Linked DNA regions of Rhinolophus ferrumequinum. The protein of the gene in region 2 purifies or fractionates together with the protein of the main gene of each other region. This does not show direct contact. Links are inferred from orthologs where the notes say so. Each region holds a gene or a part of one and is shown on either strand. Other genes may lie near its edges.

Region 1 (7,319 bases), on a different chromosome or scaffold from region 2:
AACTAGGATTCTTAATAAGTGGAGTTGGCGTCTGCCTGACTTCAGAGCCTTCGCATTTAACCAACTATCCTACCAATGACTGTCTTTCATTTTTTGAAGAAAAATAAACCCCACACAAGGTACAACATTCCAATTCAGAGGAAATACGTGCTAATAAATTAATCCAACCCCTCATAAGCTACAGATTCATTCTCCTCACAGTTAACGTTATTCACTCTCAAAACATTTACGATGGGAAAGGGCAACCTTGACAATGGGACAACTACATAATTTTCAGGGCCCAGGGCAAAATGAAAATGCAGGGCCCCTTAAAATGAAAATGTGGGGTCCCTCATTCAAAAGCAGGAAAAAAGTATCATTAAAGGTACTAAAACATAAAGCTTTCTCCTTTCTTCTGAGGTCTCTCTTGACTTGTCGTGGTGTTTTTTTATTTGCTGTTTTATTCGTTCTAAGTAAAGAAAAATTAAAAATTTAAATTATTAGCATGAATTTTACCATTCACCTTTATATTGTACAATGCCAGTTTTATACGCAGATTATTAAACCAAGTTTGAAGCCCATTTGAACACCCACGAAGCCAAACTATCCCTGGTTCCAAGATTTTAGCCCCATATAACCAAGGCAGAGAGATCAAACCTTAAAATTTCCAATAAAGTAATGATTTAGCAAAATTCTGCCTTCAAGACAAGCGATAAATCCAATGCATAAAAGCTAGCTAGCCTGTTCAAGTAGGCTCTTCCTTTTGCTAATTTAATCCTGCCCGCCTTATATTATTCTGCCTTTCTAGAAAACACAAAAGCATACTCTGAAAGATAACTGGTATCGGATTATAAATTTAATAATAAAACATTTCAAAAAACCATTTGTTAGCTAAAAATAATATACTAAAAAAATGCTTCTTTTTCACTTTTTGTGGACCATTTTTAAAGTCAAACCATACATTTTTGATGTATCGAGTAAGAATCATCCTATACTGATGTTACACATATTATAAATTCTGACGTCCAATTTTCAAACCACAAATATTTACTATCCTACTATCCCTCCAAGTTAATCAGCAATAAAGAGTGCAAATTAACATCCTTTACACTGAAAAACTGGTTCTAAGCACCTAAATGTTGTGATGATTAAGAGAATTAAATTACATAAATATTATTACATTATCAAATAGTTGAAATTTTGCAAACATTTCTAGATCTATTAAGAATTATAGAAATCTGAATGCATTTCTAATCTCTTCAAAAACAATTTTCATATTAGTAGAGATATTCAGGCATCCTGTTCCCAAGATATGAAAAATAGGCATTAAAATTAGGATATATAACTTAAAAGCATTTTCTGAATTACAATTTAATCAGATTAACAAAAGAAAATATAAATTCGGTAAATATAAAAGTCTAAACAAAGGTAGGTGCTAAATAAATATTGCGAGTAAGAACAGGGACATAAGCGGCCTAGAAAAATGAAAAGCAAAGCACTACAGTAACGTTAAATTTGAATTAAAGAATACCGTTATTTAAATAAGCAGTTAGCATTTCGTAGGAAGAAGGCCAAGCAATGTGACTATTATATATCTATCTAGTCGATTCACAGCACTGCTTCGATATTCCGGACTTATTGCTTATACTCATAATATAGAAATAAAGAGGCAGCAACAGTTAGCCACTACAACATTAACCACTCGGGCAACGGTTACTTTAAAAATTGCCTTCCATTTTAACACTTTACAGCTATAGATTATTTTCATATATATGGCTTCATATAGTCCTCACTACCCTGTGATGTGGCTATTACTGACTAGATTTCATAGATAAGAAACCACGGCTCGGTAAGGGATTTTTCTCAAGAGTCCCCCGGTCGAACCCAGACATTCTGATTCCACGTTTTATGCCTCGTATTTCGCATAGTTTTATTTCAGGCATAAATAGAATTTTTAAAGGGAAGGAACGGGTTAGGGAGAAAATAATCATGGTACCTGCAGCTGTGTGCTGCAAAAAATGGCTGAATTATGCTTCTTCCTTTTTTTCCCCCCACCTTGAAAAAAATTAAATTTCAAACAATTTAAGTAAACTCAAAGACAAATTAGGTCCCAGCGCCTTCCTAATGTTTGACTCGGATCTGAGCAGAAAGGGCAACCGAATCGGTTCCGACCGCGGGCCCGCGGCCGAAGCCCGGGCTCCCGCAGGCCGGAGGGCCAGGGGCGGCTACGCACCTCGGGGGTCTGTCCAACCTCTAGTGGACGGCAGTCTGCATCAGGAAGAAGCGGGCCGGCGGCCGGGCGGTGGGCGGTCGGGCGCCGGGACGGCACTCGGCAGGCTTCTCGAACGTCTACAAGGAGCCGCTCCGAGGCCGGGCTGGGGCGCTCCGGCGGGGGGCGAGTCTGCGCGCCTGCGGTCCCCTCGAAACCAGTCCTGGGAAAGAAGACAGCGCTGAGTCGCGAGTCAAGACAGTCGGGCTCGGCGCGGCGTCGGGGCCGGGCCCAACCTTGCCAATGCCAGGGGTCTCGCAGCGGCCGGCGGGGTTCGGCTGGAGGGCCGACTCGGGGCCGCGGGCGGGGAAAGGGGCTGGGGGGCCGCGGGTAGCAGCAGAAAAGCCGGCAGTGGAGGCGTCGACGACTGCGTCTCCGGGCTTCTGCCCCGAAGCGCGCCGAGCCTCGGGATCACCCACGCCGGGGGTGGAGGAAGGCGGGAAAGGGGCGGGAAAGGGGCGGGGCGTGTGGGGCCACGAGCCAGGGGCCGCTCCGGGCCGCGCGCCCCCTGTGGGCCACGGGAGCCGCCCGGGGCCCGCCCAGGGAGGCGGGGCCCGCCGGCAGGGGGCTCTGTGCGCCGTCGTCTCAACGCGGAAGCTTGCCACGCGGGTAGGGAGGTCGAAGGGTAGGAAGCCATAAGCTGCAGATCAGGCTCTGGAGGCGCCCTCGGCCCCCGCGGGTGCCTCAAGGGGGCCCGCGTGCGGGCGGCGGCCCAGAGGGTGTTTACCTTCCCCCTGGTCGAACGCCAATGCCGCCATCTTTCAGCCAGCGCGCGTCATTTCCGGCGCCGCGGGAGCGGGAGCGGGTGTGGGAGCGGGGTGGGGGCAGGGCTGTCCCACGCCCGCGAGGCCCCACGTTCCGGCTGGCCACGCCAGCGGGCCCCAGGGAGGGCTCAGGCGGCCCCGGGCCCGGCGGGACGAGGCTTACCTCGCCGTCGGGGCTGGGAATGCTTGACTGCCAGTCCACGCGCAGACGTCCCTCTTCGTCTGCACGAGCGGTGGGCTCTAGCTACTGCGGTGCTCCCACCCCTCAACAAGTTTAGGGTTAGGAAGCCCGGAAAATGCCTTTTGCCGTTTTGCACTCGGTGGGGGTAGGGGGATCGGGGACGACATTGAGGGAGCTTTGCTGTATCTACCTGTGTTATAAAAGTGACTACATCTGCGCCAAATGACATCATTTTTGTCAGGCAACTTGCAGGGTATTATTGCGTCATAGTTCCACTTGGCTTATTGCACAACAATTACACGTTTCAGAAATACGTTTCCCAGAGCCGGGAAAATTCATAAAAACGGGCACGTATGCACTGCATATAGAAATGCTGGATCTAAAAACGCCGTTCTGTTTCTACTTGCGTCAAAATAAGATGGCAAGAACTAATACTCAGAGGGCAGTGATTTTTTTGGGGGGGGGGGTTATTCGTTTCTAACAAACCTGCTGCGGAATTCTAGCTAATGCTTTATAAATACCTTCTTGATTTAGAATATAAACCTACATTATAGGACTATTTTGTAAATTTATTGTTGTGAAATCTCTTTGTGGGAAAAGTGTAGGTGACAGAAATACACAGTTGGAGACCAGTGGTTCTACAACTGACCTTAAATTGAGTCCATTGCCCATTTCTGATCCTAAATTGAGGAATTTATCCGACCCACCCCTACCCCCACCCTCACCCCCGCCGCCATTTTCTTTCTAGACCAATATCCCGATGTATTTGCAGTTAGATGTGTGGCTAAAAGCGATCATTATCTCTTTCTAGCAAACTTGAACATGTCATGTTTCCCAAGAGGCCAAAACAGCACATGGTGTACTGTTTTGCTGAAGTAGACTGCTTCGTGGGAAAAAAGTAGAGAAACACCTTAATCTTCTGGAAATAGGAAAATAAGCGTCCCTTTTCCCATTTAAACTATAAAACAAGCTTTAAAAAAACTATTAGCCATAAAATAAACTTTAAAATGGCATGCATTCAACTTTGAATATTTGAGTTTTCATACATTATCCCTGAACGTCTAAAAGCGCTGATTTTATATTTTTGCACGTTGGCTGACACGTAACATTTTGAGCTATACATTTATCACATAGTGTGGAACTAACCTGTCTAGAGAGAGACGTCAAGTCAGTTCTTGATTCAGCAGGAACTGAAATGTCTGGGTTCTGTGTATCATAAATATATCTACAGTGATGTCGTGATCAGTACCCCCTGATGATCTTACATAGTCACAGATGTGACATTTCATTACCGTCCAAAATATGCTTTTTTTTATACTTGACTGTTTCTGAAACTGGGCTGTGTCTTTCCACCAGTCTATATATTTACTACTATGTAGAGCCTACCCTTGGGGGAAAAAAAGTTTAATCAGTGATGCCTCTTTCACTCTCATAAAAAAAAAAGTGTTTTATAGAAGGCTCTGGTATAGTAAGAAACATCCTGCTTCCTCAAGACCAGGCAAAGTAAAACCACATCATTTAAATAAACGAACTCCTCCAGATAATTCCTGTCCTCAATTATTTTTCCCACCAATTACTGGAATAATGGGAGTTCCTAAATACCTTGAGGACATGCTTTCACACTGGTAGAGCCCCATGGGGCAGATGGAAGCTGTCTTTTCTTAGCCCACTAGCTTAAGTATTTCAGAATACAGTCCTCAAATCCGCTATCTGGCAGTCCCAGATGTCCGGAGGCAGGCCAGAGGCTTGGGACTGGGAGTGGTAGTGGAGTTGGAAGGAAATTCCTATCCAGCAGGCTTATGATTTAGGATACTGTATACCCTCCCTCCTCTTTTTAAAACAAGGCTTTTCAGAAATCCAGAGTCTGTGGTAATTATCTTGGTAATCACTTTTCATGTAATTAGCCCCCACCCCAGTCTCGGGGAATTGAAGAGTTGTATCTTCAGCAAACTCTAATAAAGCTGCATATGCATTCTCTTTTCTTTGGAAAACTGTTTTGCTAAATGCTCTATAGCTCATTAGGGTTTTTAAGGCATCTTACGGGGTCCAATCCATCTCAGCCCCTCAGGGTCCACCGGTATCCCCCAAATCAGTACTAACTTCTGCAGATTCACACCAAGACCTGTACACTGACACATTCCAGTAGGACGGTGGCTGTTGTCCTAAGCATTATTTCCTGGCTCCTATCCCAGATGGCGCCTTCAAAATATAGTCTGAGGGTCCCCCAATTTTCCAGGCTTTCAAGTTTGTTTTAACAGCCAAATAGAATAACTTGAGCCTTTACGTTGCATGACTAATAGGAAATTGGTGTCTTCATGAATATTGGCGGATTCCTGGCTAATGCTCACACATCTTGGGCATCGCTGGTCACCTGTCACTTCGAATGGCTCCTCTTAGTTTCTCTCCTATTACTGCTGGCATTAGGGTCTGTCACCCCCTCTCCACATTTCTCCAGCTCTTTCTCTCTACACTTCCAACTTACAAACTTGAGCCTCCCTCCACCGCCCTCTTAGAAAAGCAAAAACCTAAAGCTATCACAAGGAAACTTCAATCTCTTTAAACAGGTCATGGCTTCTAGAGATTCCTACACAGGGATATCCTCCCTGATCATCTCTGAGTCGGATCTGTAGTCATTTGGTGGGAACCCTTTCCTGAGCATATCACTTGTTTCTCCCATCTCCTATCTTCCCCAATCTCATGAACCCCCAAACTTATCCTGTGGGCTCAACTAGAATCCCAAATCCCAAAACATCTGAAAGTGATGTGGATGCAAAAACAAACAAAAACCCCTCAAAGGGCATCCCCCGTGACACAAAGTGTGTCTAATGAATGTATTTACATTTGTGTTATTTCACTAACGTGGGGCGCTATCTCAAGGAAAACGAATTGATAATGTAACATGGTCAAGAGGACTCAACAATGTGATTTTTCCTGGAACCAAATGCTTCTTCCTATTCCACTTCCATCCTTAAAGCCCTGCTGGCAGTTCTTAGAATAACTGCTTTCTGCCTGGGGCCAGACAACAAGGGTTCAGAAACATTCAGGTTTGGTCTCAGAGGCCCCAACACATTGTGACAGGTTTAGACAACATGGGGTGCTATGTGAGCGAGCACAAAGCGGGGGGTGTAATCTGGGTTTGGGAGGGTCAAGCATGGCTTCTCAGAGGCAGCGATCTCTAAGTTCCGTCCAAACGGAATAAGGAAAGGAAAAAGTAAAAGAGTAAAGGATACCCATAGGGCAGTGCGTTCCAGGCCTGGGAGTGGCAGCAAGGCACCTTAATTTAGAGAACTGATAATTTAGGAGGCATACAGTGTAGGACACAAAAAGAGGAGAGGGAAAAGAAGCAAGAATCAGGAAGGCTGCCAAGTATAGCCGGTGGCAGTCAGGGCTTCTCCTCCCGTGTTGCCTCTCACCTCACGCTCTTTCCACTGTCAAACATCCACTATCAATCAAAGATGAAATTAATATCACCATTTCAATGGAACATGTGTTGAAACACAATGTAGACAATGCCCCCTTGTAATTAAAAATGTTAAAAAGAACAGATTTACCCCAAAGTTAATCATTTTTATGTTCTTTATGAACCAATGAAAAGCAACACTATACTTCAGAAGCCTGAAGATACAAGCCACACATTCATAAGTACTGCATTTCAGTAGATGTGCACGCAAACACACACATCCTAAGTGTGAGAGCCAGAGTTGAGGTGAGTGGGAGCAATGAAGAGCTACTATATGGTATTTGCATGATGAAGGAAGTGAAGAAAAAGCCTCCAGTAATTCCCACTGCCAGAAGCACAGCTTTAGGGTTTGGGGACTGTGGTTAAGGATAGAGACGGGATTGAATCTAGGCTCTAAAAGATATTTATTAGTTCTAAAACTAAGTTCTTAAAAAAACAGTGATCGCATCGCTCTCAGGACAAAATGTCTTTGTCCTGATACAGGGCGGAGAGGGACTTTAGGCAAGTCAGTTCTGGCTGCCTCAGCTTGGGGCTGAGTAGCTGAAGTGGAAGCAGGGGAAGCACACGTGAACAGCAAGGGCCCAGGCCTGGCTGCAAGGACAGCTTAGCTTCACCCTTTCCAGAGACCTGAGAGAAGAGCAGCACTGCCTTGGGGAGGGGCATTGG
Region 2 (7,165 bases):
GTTGTCCCTCATAGAAATGTGCTTAATATCCCGCTCCCTCCCAATCTCTTTTTGTGTGTGAAAAACTAAGCTTGGGAAAGGGGTCATTTGTTTACAGGGAGATACTAAAGAGCAAAACCCATTGCTTAGGTGGAAGCAGGCAGCCTTTGGCTCAATATAGACAGTCTACCTGACCAGACTTGGGGTCACTTCAAGTGGCAGTGAGCTCCCAACCACTGAAAGGTGTTGAGAAGAACTGATGATAAAATGGGACTCATGCCTCTGAGCAAGGCTGGAACCGAGAGCCTAACATCCAAGTGAGAAACCTATGTGGTGCCTAACAGAGGACAGAGCCACTGGAAGGGGTGCTGAGGGGGCACTCCCCTTTTATTAATGACAGGTTTCTCTAAGGGGAGTGGAACACCTCTCCCCTCTGGGACAGTTCTGACCCCTGTGCGTCATCTCTTCAAGTACCCTCAGAAGAAGAGCCCCCGCATCCGCCTGCCGATGCCTTGTCGGTCATAGAGGACGTTGAACTTGTTCACGAACTGGTTCATGGTGTTGCACGTTTTGGTGATGGTGCCAAGGTAGGCCATGAGCCCCACATCATTACATTGCTGGGAGGGAACAGAAAGATCCAGGTCCCTCACATGCCAGGGAACACCTGAGTCCTATGTCCTGCATGCAGAAATGATAGCATAAGCCCCACCCACCTTCCTGGGTTTTAACACTCACATCATAAAAGTCTGTCTTGAACTTGTCTGTGCTGAGTACCGGGAGGCAGTGACATAAAGCATAGGCCTCCCGCAGGATCTCGTGGTTAAAGGGGACCTCTCCTAAAGGTACAAAGAGAGGATGCATTAATGTGGATGTTGTCACTTCCCCAGGAGGGAGTGGAAAAGTGGTAGGAGTGCCAGGGAGTCCCCGTCCTACCTGCTTCAGAGGCTTTGACATACTCCAAGATGAGCTTGACGCGACTGTGCAGCATTTTGATGGCGCTGTGCTGTGCTATCAAGTGTTCAGCCACTGCAGGGGGCAGGGACAGGCCACGGTTGAAAAGGCTTGTGGCTACACCTTCCACCCCCACTTCCAAGTATGCCCCTCCAGCCTCCATTACCCGTGGAGTTCTCTCCACTGCCTGTTGCTGTCATTCGGGCGACATGGTCTACACCAATGCGTTCAGCTTCCTCTGTGGCCAGGGTGTAGGTCAGTTCAGCAAACAGCATTGTGGCCTACAGGACACATAGGGAGAGTCAAAAGCGGGAAACATCAGGGGCAGGATCTGAGGGTTGAAGGGTAGGGCATTACCTCTCCATTGATTATATCGATGACAGACTCAAAAACGCTGACAGGAAGCTGTAAAGAAGAGATGGAGAACAGCTCTTACATCAAATCCACCTGAAACTATACTATGTGCCAAAAATTGGGATTGGCAGTTTCACATTGAAGGGCCAATGAAGGACAGATTATCGCTGTTTTACACATAAGAAAAATGCAGGTTAATCCAAAGACATAGCTGATAAATGGCAGAATGAAGATTCAATTCAACAGAGATGTCACACAGTAAAAGACAGCAGGGGATGAGTAAAAAAGATAAGCATAGCGATAGACAAGTATGACCAAATGGGCATTGGGTCAGTGTTACTCACATCCGTGTGCTTGGTCATGGGGTTCAACTTAAGAAAGAGGGGGCTCTCAATGATCTCACACACCTGGAAGAGGGGGATGATGGATAAGTGTATTGCCCATCTTTCTTCTCTCCCTCATCCTCTATTCTTTACCCCAGCATGCACATGTGTGAGCACGTATACCTGCTTATGGACGTGGATGTCGGAGGGGTCAGGTGGCCCCCCAGTGGTATACCAACCCAGAAACTCCAGCTCCTTGAATACCTGTTTAACTGGAGAGGAAGGGGCCAGAGCACAAAGTATTTCTTTAAACCATCCTTCCTTAATTTGAAGCTCCTGGTGTATTTTCACCAGCTTCTCTCCTTCCCCTCAAATCCCGGTTCATTTTAGAATGGTTATTTTCTTCTCTCATCCTTCATTTTTTTGGGGCAGAATACCCGAATGTGTTCTTTTTCTGAGATTTCTTCAGGTACTCCACTTTCCCACCGTTCTCATCCCATGTCCTGTTTATTTTTCCCCAACCCTCTCCATCTTCCCCACTCTGCTTTTTTTTTTCCTCCCACTCCTCTCTTCCACTTCTATTCCCCTCTCACACTGCTCCTCCTTGGTGTAATAATATTCCTTGTCAATGATAATCTTCTCTTCCACGGTGTGTGACAGCAGCTCAAAGGAGTTCATCACCTCGATATTTCGGCCCTCCTGCTTCCCGATCAGAGCCCCAATCACTGGGGAAGAGAAGGACACACAGGGGTGAGAGGCAAGAATCCCAAAACTTACCTAATCATTACAGCTGGAGGGTGTGAAGTCAATGTGAACTAAATACAGGGGAAATGGTGATTTGGCCGAGGAAGGATTATCTTCAGGAAAAGAAGGAGAACAGACCACTGTTTGGTGGAGGTGACCAACGAAAGGAGGTTGCAGAATTAGGCTGAACACTCACCCTGCATAGGCCGCCCCTCCTGGGAGCGCATGCGAATCCAATGATCTGAGATATTGAGAATGACCAGGGGATGAAGAGCAACTGAAACACTCCCAGTCACTCCGGAAGCCATCACGCTGGGGACTACTAAAGGTGGAGGAGAAGGAGAGAGAGTGAGACTCCGGGCCCCACGCCCTTCCCAGGAGACGGGAGTGGGAGATGGCAGAGCCGGGCCATATATCCCTCCCGCAAGTTATCCCAGGGAGCGATGTTACCGTCCACCCTCCTGACCTCTCCTGAGATCCAGGAAGGCGGCCTTAACGCACCTCGAAGGCCGTCTCCAGAAGCCGCCCCCGCGGGGCCCGTTACCTGCTGCATCCACCTCCATCCCGCTGCTCCCCCCAGTCCCGTTCGCCGCAGCTGCCACCGCCGCCATTTTCCCCGCGCCCGCCGGCCTCGGCCCCGCCCCCCTTCCCGGCTTCCGTCCGTGGCGGCGCATGCGCATCGTCCCCGGGGCGCGCGCCTGCTCTGGCGCAAGACAGCGGCTGTCCTACCTGCCTGGTGTCCGCCCGCAGCCCTCCGGCGGCAAAAGTCCGACGCCCGCATGGCCCTGAAGCCGACAGATTTTCCTAGACCCTGACCCAGGCTCTCGTCTGCGACTGACCTTAAACAAATTACTTAACCCTACCCCAACCTTTCCGTCTTCGTCAGCAGAATTCGATTAAGATTGCCTAGTCCCTAAGTCTATTACAGAATGAATGAAATGTCATGTTATTGCCCTCAGAATAAAATCCAAGCTGCTAACCGCGGCCTGCAAGGCCCTGTATGATTCGGCCCCTGCTTGTCAATGGGCCCTGGCCTTTTCTGCCCCCTGGTCCCCATGTTTCAGCCACGCTAGCTCTCACACCTGTTCTTTTAACACGCCCCACTAACGCAAGGGCCTTTTGTCATGTTCATCATTATAACCCCTAAGACAACACGGTACCTGACACGGGTACCTAAATGATTTTTGAGTAAATGGATGAATACTTTGGGGTGGAGCCTGGTCTTGAGTAGCTCTCTGCAAGTCCTATCTTTCCTCCTCCCAAATAATGGTATTAACAACAGTATTAGGGGCATCCCCAGAATCTCCTAACCCCTTCCACGCTCCCTGTGCTCTCCATCTCCGTAAATCTCACCTCTGGCAAAGAGACCACTCCAGCCCTCTCCCCACTCTTCCATGTACGCAAATTGTGTACACCGCCTTTACCCCTTCTGCTGCCCCAACATGTCTGGTTGGCTTTTTAATATGTGTCTGTACCCCACCCAAAATGTAAGCTCTAGAAAGCAGGTAGAGACCTGTTTCTGGACCCCACGAGCCTATTCTGGTGCCCAGAACTAGCAGGTACTGGAGATGTTTTCTAGTGATAATAATAACTTACATGAATTAAGTAACCTCTCCACTTAGGAACCTGGATAAAGGAAAGTTGAAGGGCCAGCAACACTCAAAGGAAGAGGCCTGAGAAATCCTGCAGGGATAGGGGTCTTCTGGCCAAGGGGAAGTTGAGAAAGAGTTTATCTCATTCTAATCTCCAGTGAAAAACATTCCAGCCAACTGAGACAGTAATGGAAGAAAAGCATATGTGCCATTTTAGGGAAAATGAGGTCAGAAAAATCTATCTCTTTTACATGATAGGCAACGTTTAAGGAGTTTCTCAGATTGAAGGCTAAAATAAAGACAAGAATTATTCTAGGGTTAATAAAGTTGACAGTTGGTGTTGTTGTTTCACACATTAAAGTACTTCTTTGTCTTTTTGTTGTTTCAAATGCTTTTGAAACTGCTCAGATAATTATACAACCCATAAAACAGTGGTTATTGTGAAATTCAAGGATGATTTTGAAATTGAATCAGTTGATTATACATGCTTTGGAAGTAAGCTCACTGAGCATTTCTTAAAAGTGCATTGTATTAAAAATCTACTAACAAAAACTCAAGTTGAAATTGTGTTAAGGCAACTTATCCCACAGTTCTCTTTCTACCTTCCAACAAAATTAAACACAATGCATCATTTTGTTGTTTTGCTAACTTTTCCTTCCACAGAGTGGAGGTAACTGGGCTGGTGGGGAATAGCTGCTCAGAGAGTCAGCAAAGAAGATACCAAGGACTGAAGGGAAGGCCCTCCAGGAAAGAACACAGACTGAGTCACCGATTGCTTTGAATCTGTGGTGTTATCAAGAAATTCTACTCTTTGGGGTCAGTGATTATCCATCCATCCATCCACCCATCCATCATTCATTCATTTACTTAAAAAATATTTAGGAGTGCCTACTATGCAGCAGGCACAATTCCAGGTGCTGGGGTTACAGCACTGAACACAACCAAGTTCTGATTTCATGAAGCTTACACTCGAGTTGTAAGAAACAGACAATAAGCACACATAAGGATATTAAAAGGGATTCGAGGGGTGGTGTTTTACATGGAAGGGAAGACCAGAATGGAGTCAGGGAGCAAGGTGTAAGGAGAGCTGGAGGAGGAGTATTCCAAATGGAACAAGTGCGAAGGTCTTTGGGCAAGAGAATGCATGATGTGTTCCAGGAATAATGAGAAAGCCAATGACTGGAGCTGAGTGAGGGGGCAAGTGGGGACTGAAGGACTGAGATGAAATGAAATCAGAGAGGTAACAGGGTCAGACCAGGTGAGGACTCGTGAGCTTTGGCTTTCAGTCTGAACAGACACATGACTTGATTTGACTCAAGGCTGTAAAGGGTCACTCAGGCTGATGCATGGAGGTTAGATGGATGGTAGGGGACATAGAAGCATGGAAAACTGGAGCTATTGTCCTAATCCAGGTGAGAGATGACCATGGTTTGGACCTGGGCAGTAGAGGCAGAGGTAGGAGATGACTCAGGCCTGTAGCTATCCACATGCCCTGGTGTGTATTGGAAAAAGTCTCTAGTACAGCAGCTATAGTTAGTAGTGCTGTATTGCATATTTGAAAGTTGTTAAGAGAGGAAATCTTAAAAGTTCTCCAAAAAAAGAAAAGGATGTCCCTTCTAAGCTCAAGCTGGGTTTCAGTCCCCACTTGCCCCTTCACCCAGCTGCCCTGGACAGGGCAAAACCTGTGAGTCCTGATTGAATTCAGGATACATTTGGAAAGTAGAGTTAATAGGATTTGCTGACTCAAGGACACTTGGGCCTCAGGAGAAGCGCATGAATTTGTAGTAGTGGGTTTGAAACAAGGTTGTGCTGGTCTGTGTGTCAGCATGCAGATGGAATGGGGAGAGGTGTTCACAAGGAGGAGTTTCAGTGCTGGCAAATCCAGCCAGAGCTGCTGCCTAGCTCAGGTAGCCACGGGATGGGCTTGCTAGGCTGCGGTGGTGCTAGATCTAGACGACAAAGAGAACGTTAAGGGATCCTCCTCCCACCTCCCTGCACCTCCTGGGTCTAAGGTGTTCCCTTTCCAGTTGCTGGGTTATTGCTCTTCTTCTATGGCCACAAAATTGGTGTGTCACATCCTAGTAGCTTTTTCTCCAATTATCCCCTATTTGCATACAGACCTTTTGTCCAGAAGGGTCAGGTGTGAGTGAAAGAGGGCATTTTTACAAAATTTGCAAAGACCATTATACCCTCCACCTTGACCTATATATTAGTTTCCTGTCATCTTTTCTAGCTTCTGGAACTACATTCCTTGCATTACTTGGATCATGGCCTCTTCCTCATTTTCAAATCCAGTGTTTTCAGCAGCATCTTCATATATCTTTGTCCCTCTGTTCCCATCACCACATTGCCTTCTTAGTAAAATCTCTCCCTACCCCTCTCTTATACTTGGGATTACATTTAGTGCCCACTAGGATAATCCAGGATAATCTCCCCATCTGAAGATCCTTAACTTAATCATACCTGTAAAATCCTCTTTGCCATATAAAGTAACCTTCACAAGTTCCAAGGATTATACCTGGATATCTTTGGGGGATCTTGTTCAGCCTGCCACAGCCTGTGTGGGCCACTATAAGAAAGCTGGAGAACAGTGTCCTTAATCAAATGATCTCGAACCATGTCAAAACAATAAGAAAATGCTGTGACTAGACCAGAATTAAGTTAGCATGCCCTAGGCTCCCTTGTGGCTTGGCTGTAGCCAGAGGGTCTACCAACCAGGCTGGCTTGGGGTAGCCATAAGGGGAGGCGGCAGGGCGGGTAGGGAGTGTCATTCCAAGGAATAGGTAGGGCAGAATCTTTAATTTTCAGAATAAGTCTAGAGAGCTCCCCAGCCCTTTTATCTTCGTCATTACCCAAGGGATGACTGACCAAGAGGAGACAAATGCTTTTGGGGGATGGCCACATTCAGTGACCAGCCTGCCTCACTAAGGCGTGTGGACCAGAGGAGGGAAGGGAGGTAGAGCTGATTTTGGAGGAGGCCATTCCAGTGCTTGGCAACGAGATGCTGCCCATGGTAGGGAGTGTGGAATGTTCACCCAACACCTTGACTCTTGATTCATTGTTGGGTGGCTTTTGTTGACAAAAGGTACACCAATGTCAGACTGTTGATGGTCTGCAAAGCCTAAAACACGACACAGTTTAGTTTCAAGGTCCATAGTGATGAGGCCTGAGTCACGGGATCAGACTGAAACAGGGACACCGGCACCAAGAGAACCCTTAGAT
Region 3 (7,296 bases), on a different chromosome or scaffold from region 2:
AACCGGAAAGTCTACTTTCTAACCTTCTAACCTCCACATCTTTCAGTCACATTAAATGTAGTTTCTTTTGTGTGACATGTAATTCCTCAAAGCTCTCATGTTCCCTGCAGGACTAATGGAACAATCCACAATTGTTTACTCCTTTTGCTATCAAATGATGTTCAAGTGAAGGTCAAAGCTGCATTTTAAAGAATCTACAAATTCCAATGTAAAAGCATGCTTTAAAGCTTTAAAAACATTTTTGTTTTTTTAAACTGTTAAACATAGTCTGGAAATGAGTAACTTCTTGAAGCCAAGTATTTTGACAAGGAGAGACAGAAACTGGACTACGGGGCGGAGGGAGGAATACACAACAGGCTGAGATATGTGTGGCCCAGAAGCATCTCAAACCTTGTCCATGGAGATGAAATTGCAGAAACCAGAACGCAACTACAACTCTGAATAAGACATTGCTAAGTACCTTTTGTACAAATTGTATCAAATATCCAGAATCACTGTACTATTGCATTGCAGTGATATGTTGTACTCATTTCCAATTGGGCACTCTTCAGAGGGGTTCAAAAATTAGATTTCTACTTTAAAAACCACTCATTTGCTTCAGTAGCTTTGGTTTGGGAAGCAGAATTCTTATTTTTATAAGTGCCCCAGGTAATTTTCTAAGATGTTTGGAAAACATTGATATAAGCATCTGAAATAAATGGAAGTTTTGCCTACATGAAGACATTCAACCTGAATTAAATAGAGCTGTTTTAAAAACTGTACTACTTTTAACTCATTTAAATTGGCCCATATGCTTTAGTGAAAGGAAAATTTGGTATTGCTTGTTAAAAAACAACAAGTTATTTTAGGAATATTAGAGGGACTAAGAAATAAAGATAATTTTTAAGTAGATGTGAAGTAATCACATAGGTTGACTAAATTCACAAGATGTTTGAAAAATAATATTTCATCGTTATTTTAAAAATGAGAGTTGTATTATTTACTTAATGTTTTCATCAGTTGATAAAATTGATAGAAATTGTTTTAAAGAAATGGGGCCTGAGAAATTTAAATATGTCTTTAATTTTCCTAAAATCTTTTGCTTTTAATACATTTATATACATTTATTTAAAAAAATCCAAACCATATAGTAAAGTACAAAAAGAAGTAAAAACTATTCAAGATCTTACAATCTTAACATTTTGGTAAACATCCTCTACAAAAACAGATACATGACAAATGGATTCATACTATTTCAGAACCTGTTTTTTAAAAATACAGTATAAAATTATATTTTTCAGTGTCTCTAAAGTTTTCTCTACATCAAAAGTTGTAATCTCTAAAGAAAGTTTTCTCTACATCAAAAAATTGTAACTCTGCAGTATTTCATTCTATACATGTACCAAAATTTACTCTGTACCTCAGCTTCCTCAGCTATAAAACTGTATAAAAATACTATTATAGTACATGTAAAGTACAACAGTGCCTGGCATATAATGAACATTAAATGTTAACTGTTATTATTATATATTCTGTTTTCCAGTTTATTATTATTAAAAGCAACATTGTGATAAACATCGTGTACTTAGAATTTTTTCCATTCTAGGTCAAAATGTGTATTTTTCATAAATTCTTAAAGAAATAGCCTAACTCTGTGACCGTTATTTCAGTTTTCTGTAAAACAGATCATGATGTAAAGTGCTTAAAGTGAATCATAATTACCACAAAGTTCAGTCTTTATGATTTAATGATCAGTCAATAAGAGATCTATAAAATTATGCCTCCAGTTACATATAAGCAATATTTTCATGAAGCTTGAAAATAATATTTTAGTTCGTTTTGTAAATAAAGGAGTTTATATTGCTCTGACTGCATTTCTAGCTTAACAGAAAGATTTCTGTATGTTATTAAAATAATTTGATGTTTTAAGATGCTTCCAATCCTAAATGTCGTTATCATGTTGGGGACAAATAACTTACAGGATCAGTGCCTAGTATTGTCAAACTAACATCCCAGATTCTGTGTCCAAGCTGATCTGGTAATATTATTGTGTGTGAATTGCCTTTCTAATGCACATCATTCTTTGAGTGTGATTTTTTTTTTTTGGGGGGGGTCTGTTTTTAAAAGGCAAAATACCAGTCTGAGGCATATCTATGATTGCCTCATAGATATGGTTGGGAAACAAGCATCCATTGGTGAAAGATTCTAAAGAGACTGTTTTTCTGGGCTGACCCACTGAATCTCGCATTGTCACTGATGGTCCAAATCTCTGATACAGGGGGCCCCTTCCAGCACAAGTTCCCCAGCTAAATGCCTAATACTGGACATGTCACTTTACCTTCCCAAAGAGGTTGCTAAGTTCATGGTCACTCACCCAGAGAAGCTTAGAATGTCTCAAACTGTACCCTCATTGAGAACAAGTGTGAGAGGTCCATGTGAGAATGGGGTTTTATCAGTAATGATTTAAAGGCCAGGTGAAACGAGGTCGAGGTGAAAAACTAGAAGCTTTTCAGAGTCTAAGCACACTGAAAGAGGCAAGTCATAGATTCATCTTTATTTCTTTCATTTTCCCAGGGAGGCTAGAATCTAGTAGAATTTTCCCCATGTCTTTCAAGTTCTAGTTTTATATTCATGGTGTAAAGAAAAAACTGGATGACATCACCTCACTATGAAGCAGCTAAGTTACACAGAAAGAAGCACAAATGTAACCAAACAATGTGTTGAAAAGATATCTTGTTTTACAGATACGACGTTCTTCTTTGGTTTTTAACCTTTGCCCTTTGGTAACATAAAATTTTAATCACTATTGGAGAAGGTCTCTTCCGTTTTAAATAAGGGAAATGTATTTATGATGAAGGTATTATTTAACAACTTGTCATTCAAGAAGAAAGCTGAAGGTTGTAATAAGAAAAATAAAGTCTAAACTCATATTATCTCCAAGTTGAAGACATTTATAGTTGGTTCTCACATCTTGGTCTGGGAAAGTTTTCAAGGGTTTTTTATACGGTAAGAGTAAACACACCCTCTGCTCTCTCCCAATCCTATCCCTCCTTCTACTCAAAGGTACCCTAATAATACCCCCTGCCCCTCAGGATTAATTCATAGCTCATGAGCAACACAAGATCCTTTGTATTATTTGGGGTGAGCTCTCTTTTTGCAATGTTTGGTGACAGAAGATGGAGAAGAAGCTCTCCTTAAGTAGTCCTCAGACTGAGGGAGGCGGGGTTAGAGAAAGGAAGGGTAAGAGGGTTGCAAGAAAAGCCACCTCCATAGGCAAAAATGAGCAGAAGGGGTCTGACCTTATGTCCAAAGCTAACATTCCGTAATGGCTCGCCCAACCACGTTGAAATAGGGAAAGCAATGACGTTTCCATAGGTTAGGAAATATTTTAAAAGAAGGCCCACGATCTAACTTTATTTAGTCGACTTGTGCTTTCTTTTAATCGCATAAAAAGGATAACAGGCCCCAGCAGCAAACACAGGCTTCTCTGCTTCCAAACCGCTTTCCCCCGTGCACCCCTTGCGCTGAGTCCTGCAGAACCTGCTGCCGTCCGGCTGGACTTTCTTTCTGCAAGATGGCTCCTACACAATGACCATGCCGAAGACTAAGCTCTAAGTGCCACCTACATGTCCAGAGACGGCCAGTGAGCCTTAACCCCTTGGGACACGAAGAGGGACTGGGCCAGATGGGCGATCCCAGATGTGATGTCTTTTTGACTCCCTGGACCCCAGACTGCCTTCATCCCTTTCCCCCACTCCCGTTCCTTTTGCCTTTTTCTTCCTCTCTTGTAAAGCAGCGTGGAAGAAAAAGCAGACTGGCTTCCTCTCGTCTCCTGTCCCTCGCGAGCATCGCTGCAGACCCGGGCAGGCTGCAGAGGCGTTGCGCCCGGCGTGCGGGGGAGGCTGCGGGGCCGCACCTTCCCGCCTCCCGCGCGGTCCCCGCCGGGGCACCAGAGGCCCGCAGCCTTCCAGCCCTTCCCGAAAGCCGGATCCCGTCCGCAGGTCTGGCGGGCGGCAGGGGTCCTGCGGGCGGAAGTGCGAAGCGCGCCGTGGGAGGAGGCTGCAGGCTGGGGGCTGGGATCCCCTCCCGCCTGACGCGGCCTTGGACAACCCGCGCAGGGACGGCGGCCGCCTGCCCACTCCCGGCGCGCGCCAGCCGGCCCTTTTTTGGCTCTGAACCGGACCAGAAAGGCAGGGCCGCCGCGCTGGGGGAGCGAGGCTGAGCTGCCGCACCCGGGACCAAGAGAAGGGACTGCTTCGCGGGGCGCTGCCGCGACCCACACAGGCTGGGCGAGCGCGGCAGGGAGCGGGCGGCCCTTCGCCGGCCTCCTCCTCCGGGCGCCATCCCCCGGCGCGCCCAACTCGGAACCCGGCAAGCGCGGGGGCGGGGAAGCGATCGCGCAGAACTGGCGGGCAGCCCCGCGGCCCCTGGTCCCCCAGCCATGTCGGCGGAGGAGATGGTGCAGATCCGCCTGGAGGACCGCTGCTACCCGGTGAGCAAGAGGAAGCTCATCGAGCAGAGCGACTACTTCCGCGCCCTCTACCGCTCCGGCATGCGCGAGGCCCTGAGCCAGGAGGCCGGCGGCCCCGAAGTGCAGCAGCTGCGCGGCCTCAGCGCCCCGGGCCTGCGCCTGGTGCTGGACTTCATCAACGCCGGCGGAGCCCGCGAAGGCTGGCTCCTGGGCCCGCGGGGAGAGAAGGGTGGGGGGGCGGCGGAGGACGAGGAGATGGACGAGGTGAGCCTGCTGTCCGAGCTGGTGGAAGCGGCCTCCTTCCTGCAAGTGACGTCCCTGCTGCAGCTGCTGCTGTCCCAGGTGCGGCTGACCAACTGCCTGGAGTTATACCGCCTGGCGCAGGTGTACGGGCTGCCCGACCTGCAGGAGGCCTGCCTGCGCTTCATGGTCATCCACTTCCACGAGGTGCTGTGCAAGCCTCAGTTCCACCTCCTGGGGTCTCCTGCTCAGGCCTCAGGGGATGTCAGCCTGAAGCAGAGGCTGAGAGAGGGCCGGATGACTGGGACTCCTGTCCTCGTGGCCCTGGGGGATTTTTTGGGGGGGCCTTTGGCTCCTCACCCCTACCAGGGGGAGCCCCCCTCCATGCTCAGGTACGAGGAGATGACTGAACGTTGGTTCCCGCTGGCCAACAACCTTCCTCCTGACCTGGTTAATGTCAGGGGTTACGGGTCTGCCATCCTGGACAACTACCTCTTCATAGTGGGCGGGTACAGGATCACTAGCCAGGAGATCTCCGCTGCACATTCCTACAATCCCAGCACCAACGAGTGGCTCCAGGTGGCCTCCATGAACCAGAAGAGGTAAGCACCCAGCGAGCGCTGCTGCTTTCTCATTCATTCACTTGTTCATTAGTTCATTCCCTTAATGTTTACTGAGCAGTCACAGGAGGTTGTGCTGAGGTGGGAATGACATCTTCAGGAGTGTGGCTGGCCTTGACTCTGGCAAAGTTCCCAATGAATAAGAACTTTCAAGGATGAAGAGGCCCCAGTGAAGTCAACTAGCTGAGTAGTTTCCTTGCAGGTATTGTGTCTTTAGGCAAACTGCTTTCTTTGCCCCTGTCCCAGTGGAAAAAAACATTGTGGTTTTCCAGAAGGATACTTAAAAATAAAATTGTTTTTTAATTTTGCTTTTATTTTTTATTTTTTTTTTATTTTTTAGGATCTGATAATGATGACACATTGACAGCAACCTGTAACACTGACCTTGGGGGATTTTTGTTGTTGTTAATGACTTTGAAGTCTTCCACACTAGGGCACCAATCTATGATCAGGAGATAATCATTAGATTAGAATTGTATTAACATTAGCTGTGTAGGATTGCCTTTCTTATTTTTTATCCTCTCTTTCTCATCTCACTTCCTTCCTAGGCATTGTTATTGACCCAAAGTTTCAGCCTGGAACTGGTCACCTACACTGTTAGAATATTTCCATCCATCCCAACCTTCTCCTTTCCCATCTTGCAAATCCCTCCAGACATGAACTTGGGTGACATGAAAAAAAGATGAGAAAAGGAGGAGATTGGGGGAGAGTTAGATAAAGGAATCAGGAAAGGAATAGGAAAATAAGAGCAAAGAGCAAATACAGGAAGGGGTGGTATGAAACAAAGATGGTCGGGCACAAGATGGCCCAGAGCCATTCAGAAGTGGGGAGAAGAATCAGTGTAACTCAAGAAAGAACAAGAATACCCTTTCTTCTGATCCACCTGTATCCATCTCCAGTCCCACTATGTGTCTTGCCCTGAAGTGTGGAGCAAGGAGTCGAGGGACTCACCGCCTGTCAAAGAAATTCTTAATAGGAATGGGGAGGCCATTACATATATTTACTTGACTCTAGGGTGCCCCCAGACCAGGGGGAATACTGGCTTTATTTCTACTATAATATAACATTTATTTTGGAAAGCATTCCTTTTTTCTGATGATTAAAAATAGTATATAGATATTCTAGAAAAATGGAAAAATGGAAAAGAATAAAGAAACACAAAGGCTATCACTGCTACTGCCTCCTTCTGAGAGGGAATAACCATCTACAAGTTGGCATATTTTCTTCCAACCCCTTTTTAGTGCATTATTTACACTGTTGAGATGATACCATATTTAAAATTTGTTATTAGAAGTGTTGTTTTAAAAGAAATTCTAGGAGCTTTAATTGAAGCAACACAGGAACACTCAGTGGTGCTCAGATTAGGGGTGGAAGGCCCCTCTGGTTGTCTGTCACTTCTACACGTGTCTCTAATTGTATCAATTGGTGCAACCTCCAGCTCCATAGCTCTAACACAACACCTCATAAATTCTTGTTTTTTCTTCACAAATCGTTGGTAGTCTTTTTTTTGCCCCTTTTTTCTTTGGGCAAAAAAAAAGTATTCGAATGATGCAGGAATATATGCTTAGAAAAATTGCAAATGACACGAAAAACTATAGACTAAAAAATATGTCTATCTATAGACATACTTATATATTATAAATTTATAAATACATATTTATATTTATAAACTAAATGTATAGTCATATAAATATAAGTATATTGATAGTGTTTAACGGAAAATGTATATATGTATGCATGTACATGTGGGGGTGCATACTTATACATATATTTACTCAAATTGATTAGGTTAGCTGATTATTACGGCACTTGATATTTCTACTTAACAGTATACTGTATCTGACAGTTTTTTCTATATCAACAAATGTCGATTCACTTCACTCTTATTAATGGCTGTGTAGTATTCCAGCCTATGGAAGTACGTAATGTAATTAGCGCTTCCCTTATTTATGAGCAGTTAGATTGCTTCCATTTGCCATTACAAAC
Region 4 (7,128 bases), on a different chromosome or scaffold from region 2:
ATGTATTTCCCTCCATGGCTAAAAGGAAAAAAACATTAAGGAGTAGCTGGAGCAGAAGTGGTGAACACTGAAGTAGGAAGGGAAGAAATTACAGGCATATCTTATTTATTACGCCTCCCTTTATTGCGCTTCACAGATGGGTGTGTTTTTTACAAATTGAAAGCAAGACCCTCCATCAGCAAAAAGGTTACAACTCACTTTATCACAATAGTACCTTTATTGCAGTGGTCTGGAAATGAATCCACAATATCTCTGAGGTATGCCTGTACAATAATTGTGTCAACTCTGATGAGGTGTTGCTAATAGAGAAACCAAGAGGAAGGAAGCAATGAACAAAGGAAAGTTATTGATGTTTATTTTAAGAATCCATTTTGAGATACACATACTCCAACATCTAATATTCCCACTGTCCTCTGGTCATGAGCTGACCTGTATCATGTTCAGAAGACAACCCTAGGTGTCCACCTACAAAGCAAACATCTAAGCTGACCAATTAAAAATGAATCTGAAAAAATAACCAGGAAAACATGTTCAAAAGCAAAATGCAAATAAGTGTAAACTAATGTATAACTTATTCAAAGCCATATTAATGATGTGTAAAGAAAATAGAAAAAAAAAATTTAGGGTCTATCATGTGGTAGGCATAATTTATAGCTTTATATAGGTGTCCTCATACAATACCAACAATTACCCTAGGAAGTAAGTGGTACTTATCCCACTTTTAGAGAAAATTAAGAGAGAAGTGTAAGTAACTTGTCCAAGGCCACATGGCTCATAAATCTTAGCACAGTATTTAAACCCAGACCTATCCAGCTCTAAAGACTATACTTTTCCCTTTATATCTTACTGATACTTATACATACTGCCAATAATAACCTTATTCCAGTTCATAATGAGCATTTTCTAATCGGGACACCATGTGAAATAAAGCTCACCAGTGTCACACTCAACCTTTACCTACTACAAATCATAAAGATATTAAAAATCACCCAGGCCTCCCTCCCAGAGCCATTCAGCTCTTCAGTCACATCCATAGCGCTGAACCCCAACCACAGCACTACTCTCTGCTACCAGAAATCCAAGAGTCTTACAAAAATTACATTTACAAGTATGCTCTGACTCCCTCTTTGGCACTAGCCCATGCTGCTGAATTCACAGGATGATTCCTCTGCTGACCAAGAATTCTTCAGACCAGCTATAAAAAAACAGCCACTTTTTTTTTCACCCCCAATTTACCACTACGTCCTGAAAAGTTGGAATTCTGAAGTGGACTGAACTCAGACACCAAATAAAGGCAGCATCACTCGTCACTCCCCAGCTTTTAGGGACAAGCAGCGAAATATTCTCTAAATAGCAAGGAATGACAACCCAAAGCCCTCAGAGAAGAGACCTGATTTGGCAAAAGTCTGAACAGAATTCAGGCAAACCAATTCCCAACTTTTAACAATGTAAGAAACATTATCCACACAAAGACAAAACACAACACAAATGAAGGAGACATATTCACTTCTAGGCTTAACTGGATATACAGCAATAGTTTAAAACAGAAAATCAAGACGCCCACAGCCAATTAAACTTGTAAAAGTAATTTAACCAGAGCTGGAACACAGCCAAATACAATACCCCAACTCTTTTGGAAATTGTGGTAAGAATTTTGTGACTTTAGTGGTCAGCACTTGAGCACCAGGCTAGGGTCTGTCTTGGACTCAGGAATTTAAATGCCCTCAGCTCCTACTCACCTTTCTTCCTTTATCACTGTAGTGGTGCCCGGCTGAGCGCCTGAGAAAATAGGTCTGTAGATTCACCGAAGGACTGAGAAAAATTAAAGTTTAAATGACAAAGGTGTCTCTTCTACTAACCATAATAAAAAGATATTTATGAATACATTTTAGTATTTTTAGACCTCCTCAGAACTATTTAAAACCAGAGTAATTTATCCCATTGTAAGTACCGAGTGAATAACCTACAAACCGTTAACAGAAATAAAATGAACCATGCAAGTAATCTCCCAACTCCACTAACACGTCAAGTCATTTCAAAGGAAAACCTGAATCTTTTCAACCCTAACCCATAACCAACCTCTCAACAAGCCACAGAGCGGGGATTGGCAGTGGGGGTTGGAGATCCTGGAGAGAATGTGATAGCGCTAGTGCTGGTTTGTTTACAGACTCCAGCAACAATCATGAGTCAGAAATTCAAGCCACTAGATGCTTTCCAACTAACAGGGACCAAATAGGACCGTCCTACGGTGTCCTGAAACATCTGGGGGTAAGGGGAGATAAACTAAGCGATTTATATTACAAAGGGTACAAAACCAGCCAGCAACAACTGACTCTGGGGTTCTTGGACCTCGGGCCTTCCGTACAAGGTGCTGGGCCCCAGATGGGGGAGGGGACACATTGCGCCGTGGCCCTGAGGTGACGGGGAGACTCAGAGTGAGCCGCATCCCCCAATCTAAGGGGGAGAAAAAAGCGCACACAAGTGGGTCACCCTACGAGGCAAGACGTCCCAGTGGATTGTGGGGCAGGTTCTTGGGGGCAATCCCAGGGCTGACCAAAAGAAAGGGCAGCCAATCCTCTAGACGCAGACTGAGGTCAGGAAAAGGAGAAGACCTGAACCCTGGGAGCTTGGGAAAGAAGTCAAACCTATCCTGTGGGGGAACGGACCAGGGGAAGAGAGGAACAGGCCAAGCCGGAACGAGACACGGACCGGGTAGGTCAAGGGGAAGGGGTGTCCGGCTAGGGCAGTTACAAGCACGGGAGCCGGAGAGACTCAGCTGCCCGCTTCCCGTCTCGGGTCATCCTCCTGCTAGCAGCTGCTCCGACTGTTCCAGGCCCAGCCGCCCTGTCCACTGCCGCCACCAACGCCGCCGCCATCTTACACTGGCCAGCGGCCGCCACCGCCACCGCCACCGCCTCCGCTGTCTGCGCTTGCGCCTGCGCTGCCACGCTTTCCGGCCCTGTTTGCGACGAAGTGCTGGGGAAGACGGAGGCAAGAGTGGTCGCGCGAGCTCACCGCTTCCAACCCTCCTCCAAGGACGCGTAAGGGGCGGGGCTTAAGGCCAACGGAAAACAGGGCGAGGGGCGCCTGCGCGTTACCGAGGAGGCAAAGTTACATTTGTAGGGTATGCTTTGAAGGGCTCACGTCCCTTGTGGTATTCAAAACAAATGTGAGTTAGGAGCCTCCCAGAGTTGTAGTGGTAATAAAATTCATTTCTAACGAGCTGGCAGGCAACCTCTTGGGTGACCTCCATTTCTACCGTTTTTGAATACTGGGAATAAGCAGTTCTCGCCAGATTTCTTCTGAAAACTCCCATTTCCTATAAGGACGATTTTCTTAAGTGGTTTCTATACCTTCGAAGCCCATTTCCCCCTGACAGCCTCCATTTACTCACTTTTAAATAAGGGATTCAGAAGCTTGAAGTGCAGCTAAGCTATTCAAGAGGATCTTTCCCCGAGGGGAGGTGGTGTGTTGGTTCCCAAGAATGGCCCTAATGGTGTACACTGCTTGCTTCTGACACCTAAAGAAAGCATACAGAGGATTCCTAACAAGGTTACTACTCCCAGTTGCGAAACTAGGAGATTTTTGACCAGAAGTCCAGGGTGCAAGAATCTAACCCCTTCTTACCTCCTCTACTGCTAGCTACCCTCCTATTATCCTATTATAGGTCATATGTTACCCTAGACTGTAGCAATAGGCATCTAGCTGGCTTGTCTTTTTCCATTATCGTCCTGCTAGTTAAACATAAGGCAGCCAGAGTGCCCTTTTAAACTGTTAGGTCATATTATTGTCCTGCTCAAAACGTCCAAAAGCTTCCCATGGCACAATAAAAATCAAAATGATCATAATGGCCTTCAAGGCAGGCCCTACATGATCTGGTACCTATTTCTCTAATTTCATATCCCACACTGCTTAGCTCTGCTCTAGCCTTACTGGCCTTCTCACTGTCACTCCAACCAAAACATGTTCCAACCTTAGGGCTTTTGCACTTGTTTCCTCTTCTTGGAGTGTTCATCTACCAGATCTTTTTTTCCGCTGATAATAGGAAATGCAAATATTTTCAATATGCTATCCTTGTGTCCAGCAACCTTGCTAAGCTCACTTATTCTGTAGATTCGTTTGAGTTTCTATATGTACAATCATAGTACACTAGTTAAGAACACTGGCTTTATTTATTTTATAGTCCAAAACAACTTTTTTTGCCCACCTTCCTCCCATTTGGCAACCATCAGCTTCTCTCTAGGTATGGGTCTGTTTCTGCTTTTTTTATTCATTTGGTTTTTCTTACATTCCACATATTAAGTGAAATCATATGGTATTTGTCTTTCTTTGACTTATTTCACTTAGCATAATACTTTCTAGGTCCATGTTATCAAAAATGGCAAGATTTCTCTTTTTAATTACTGAGTCATCATATATATACCACATCTTCTTTACCAATTCGTCTATTGAATTGGTTACCTCCATATTTGAAGTAATGCTGCAATGAACATAGGGGTGCATATATCTTTTCGAATTAGCTTTTTTGTTTTCTTCGGATAAATACCCAGAAGTGGAATTGCTGGGTCATGTGGCAGCTCCATTTTTAATTTTTTTCAATATGCATACTGTTTTCCATATTGACTGCACCAATTTACAATCCTATAACAGGTCTTTACTAGATTTGCACTCTCCACTTAGTCCGATCTCTATTCAAATGCTACTTCCTCAGAGAGGCAGCTCTTGACTATTCCAACTAAAATGATACCTTACACCACCATCCTCCTTTATCTTCTTACTCTGCATTATTTTTTTCATAACATTTTTTAGCAGTAACATTTAACCTACAATTATGTATTTTTTAATCTAACTATACTATTAGATATAAGCACTATGAGAGTAGGGTCTTTCTTTATCTTTGTAACCCCAACACATAAGAGTGCCAAAGCACAAAATAGCTACCTAATGCCCTACCATTTCTATTCATTCATTCATTCCATCAACAACTATTGATTCTATCAACAAGTACTACATCTGAGGTCCTGTTCTAGGTGCTGGAACTGCAGGAGTGAATAAAACAAACCAAGTTTCCTGCATTCACAGAACTTGTATTAGTGCAGGAGTTGGGAGTGTAGGGGGATAAGAGGGACAAAATTATTAAGACAAAATTATTGAGTACTATAAACGAAAAGAAAGCAGGCTATGCTCTTTTACGTAGTGGGTTCAGGGAAGGCCCCTCTGCTGATGACATTTGAATAGAGATCTGGAATGAGCCATACACACTGGGGAAATAACCTTCCAGGCAGAGGGACCAGCAAGGTATAAAAGCCTGAACCGTGAGTGTGTTTGGTGTATTCAAAGAACAGCAAGGAAGGCAAAAGAGCATGTAGGAAATTAGTTTGGAGAAACAAGATGGGAGCCAGATGACTTACAGACTCATAGACCAAGGAGAAGACTTTGGATTTTACCCAAAGAGTGCTAGGCAGCCATGGAAGGTTTTGCATAAAAGAATGATATGATCTGATTTTTATCAATGAAGAAATTTACTTTGGTTGATTCTTTGAGAACTGCCTGCAGGGAGGCAAAATAGAAGCTGAAAGACTAGTTAGGAAGCCATGTTGCAGTGGAAGTGGTTGGATTCAGTATGTAATTTAAAGGTGGCAGAAGTGATTTGCTAATAGATTTGAATAGAGGCTGAAAGGTAAAAGGATTCTTTCCTATTGCATTTGAGGTTGTAATGATCATTACCCTTTTTAGATATTCAATCCCACTGATTCCTAAGACACTGTATTCCATAGTTCTATTTATATCTCTTACCACTTATTTCATGAGCTTCTCTTCCCCTTCATTTCACATGCTCTTCCAAAGTGATCTTATCCATTCTCAGATTAAACTACCACATAATGATGATTCCCAAGTTTTTATTTCCAACCCAGGCTTCTCCTTCATGCTTTAGACTCACATACTTGACAGCTAGTGGCACTTTTTAAAGAAAAGCTTTATTGAGATGACATTCACACACTGTACAATTCACCCATTTAAAGTGTACACTGGCTTTTACTACATTCACAGATATGTGCAACCATCATCAATTTTCAACCACTATCATCACCTCAGAAAGAAACAGTACCCTTCAGTTATCTCCCCATCTTTCCACCCTCGCCAGCCCTAAGAAACCATTAATCTATTTTGTCTCTGTAGAGTTCCCTATTCTGGACTTTTGTATGAGTGGAATCATATAGTACATGGTTTTTTGTAACTGGTTTCTTTCACTTAATGTTTTCAAGGTTTATCCATGTTGTAGCATGTTATCAGTACTTCATTCCATTTTATAACCAAATATTCCATTATATGGCTGTACCACATTTTGTCTATTTGTTTATGAACACTTGGGTTGTTTCCACTGTTTGGCTATTATGAATAACGCTGCTATGAACATTCATGTGCAAGTTTCTGCGTGGACATGTTTCATTTCATTTCTCTTGAGTATATATATATATATATATATATATATATATATATATATACACCTGGGAGTGGAATTTCTGGGCCATATGATTAACTCTATATTTAATCATTCGAGGAACTGACAGTTTTTCAAAGTAGTTATATTTTATTCACACCAGCAATGTATGAGGCTTCCAGTTCTCATCCTTGCTAATACTTGATATCTGACTTTTTGATTCTGGACATCCTAGTGTGTCTGAAGTGGTATCTCATTATGGTTTTGATTTGACTTCCCTGATGACTAATGCTGTCAACCATCTTTTCATGTTTATTTAACATTTGTGTATTCTTGGAGAAATGTCTATCAGACATTGTACATTCATTTATGTTGGGTTGTCTTTTTGAGTTGTAAGAATTCTTTATATATTCTAGATACAAGTAACTTATCAAATACATGATTTGCAAACATTTTCTCCCATCTGTAATTTGTCTTTTCACCTTTTTGATGGTGTCTTTTAAAAATTCTGATGAGGTCTAATTTATGTTTTTTCTTTTGTTGCTCATGCTTTTGGTGTCACATTTAAGAATACTCAGCCAAATCCAAGGTGTTACCCCTGGGTCTTCTTGTAAGATCTTTATTGTTTTATTACTTTTAGGTCTTTGGTCTATTTTGAATTAATTTTTGTATATGGCACAAGGGTT

Evidence for each region.
Region 1: the proteins of COPS6 (region 2) and KLHL15 purify together in Homo sapiens (affinity purification with mass spectrometry; 3 studies listed by BioGRID and IntAct, with this or other methods). This does not show direct contact. The link is inferred for Rhinolophus ferrumequinum from reciprocal best matches to the Homo sapiens genes COPS6 and KLHL15.
Region 3: the proteins of COPS6 (region 2) and KLHL42 purify together in Homo sapiens (affinity purification with mass spectrometry; 3 studies listed by BioGRID and IntAct, with this or other methods). This does not show direct contact. The link is inferred for Rhinolophus ferrumequinum from reciprocal best matches to the Homo sapiens genes COPS6 and KLHL42.
Region 4: the proteins of COPS6 (region 2) and DCAF8 purify together in Homo sapiens (affinity purification with mass spectrometry; 3 studies listed by BioGRID and IntAct, with this or other methods). This does not show direct contact. The link is inferred for Rhinolophus ferrumequinum from reciprocal best matches to the Homo sapiens genes COPS6 and DCAF8.

Annotation. Positions count from the first base shown.
Region 1 is NC_046284.1:107,904,521-107,911,839, reverse strand, and holds the start of KLHL15 (kelch-like protein 15), read right to left. Parts: upstream 3,018-7,319; 5' UTR 2,976-3,017; intron 2,663-2,975; exon of another isoform or gene 2,485-2,662; intron 2,412-2,484; 5' UTR 2,213-2,411; intron 1-2,212. UniProt on the Homo sapiens protein: Substrate-specific adapter for CUL3 E3 ubiquitin-protein ligase complex.
Region 2 is NC_046290.1:90,376,568-90,383,732, reverse strand, and holds COPS6 (COP9 signalosome complex subunit 6), read right to left. Parts: upstream 3,011-7,165; 5' UTR 2,963-3,010; coding exon 2,896-2,962; intron 2,674-2,895; coding exon 2,548-2,673; intron 2,333-2,547; coding exon 2,201-2,332; intron 1,880-2,200; coding exon 1,791-1,879; intron 1,692-1,790; coding exon 1,629-1,691; intron 1,336-1,628; coding exon 1,288-1,335; intron 1,212-1,287; coding exon 1,097-1,211; intron 1,006-1,096; coding exon 913-1,005; intron 816-912; coding exon 715-815; intron 597-714; coding exon 456-596; 3' UTR 342-455; downstream 1-341. UniProt on the Homo sapiens protein: Component of the COP9 signalosome complex (CSN), a complex involved in various cellular and developmental processes.
Region 3 is NC_046293.1:38,444,422-38,451,717, forward strand, and holds the start of KLHL42 (kelch-like protein 42), read left to right. Parts: upstream 1-4,287; 5' UTR 4,288-4,420; coding exon 4,421-5,292; intron 5,293-7,296. UniProt on the Homo sapiens protein: Substrate-specific adapter of a BCR (BTB-CUL3-RBX1) E3 ubiquitin-protein ligase complex required for mitotic progression and cytokinesis. The BCR(KLHL42) E3 ubiquitin ligase complex mediates the ubiquitination and subsequent degradation of KATNA1.
Region 4 is NC_046305.1:28,277,985-28,285,112, reverse strand, and holds the start of DCAF8 (DDB1- and CUL4-associated factor 8), read right to left. Parts: upstream 3,021-7,128; 5' UTR 2,882-3,020; exon of another isoform or gene 2,667-2,881; intron 2,284-2,666; exon of another isoform or gene 2,080-2,283; intron 1,813-2,079; 5' UTR 1,740-1,812; intron 300-1,739; 5' UTR 215-299; intron 1-214. UniProt on the Homo sapiens protein: May function as a substrate receptor for CUL4-DDB1 E3 ubiquitin-protein ligase complex.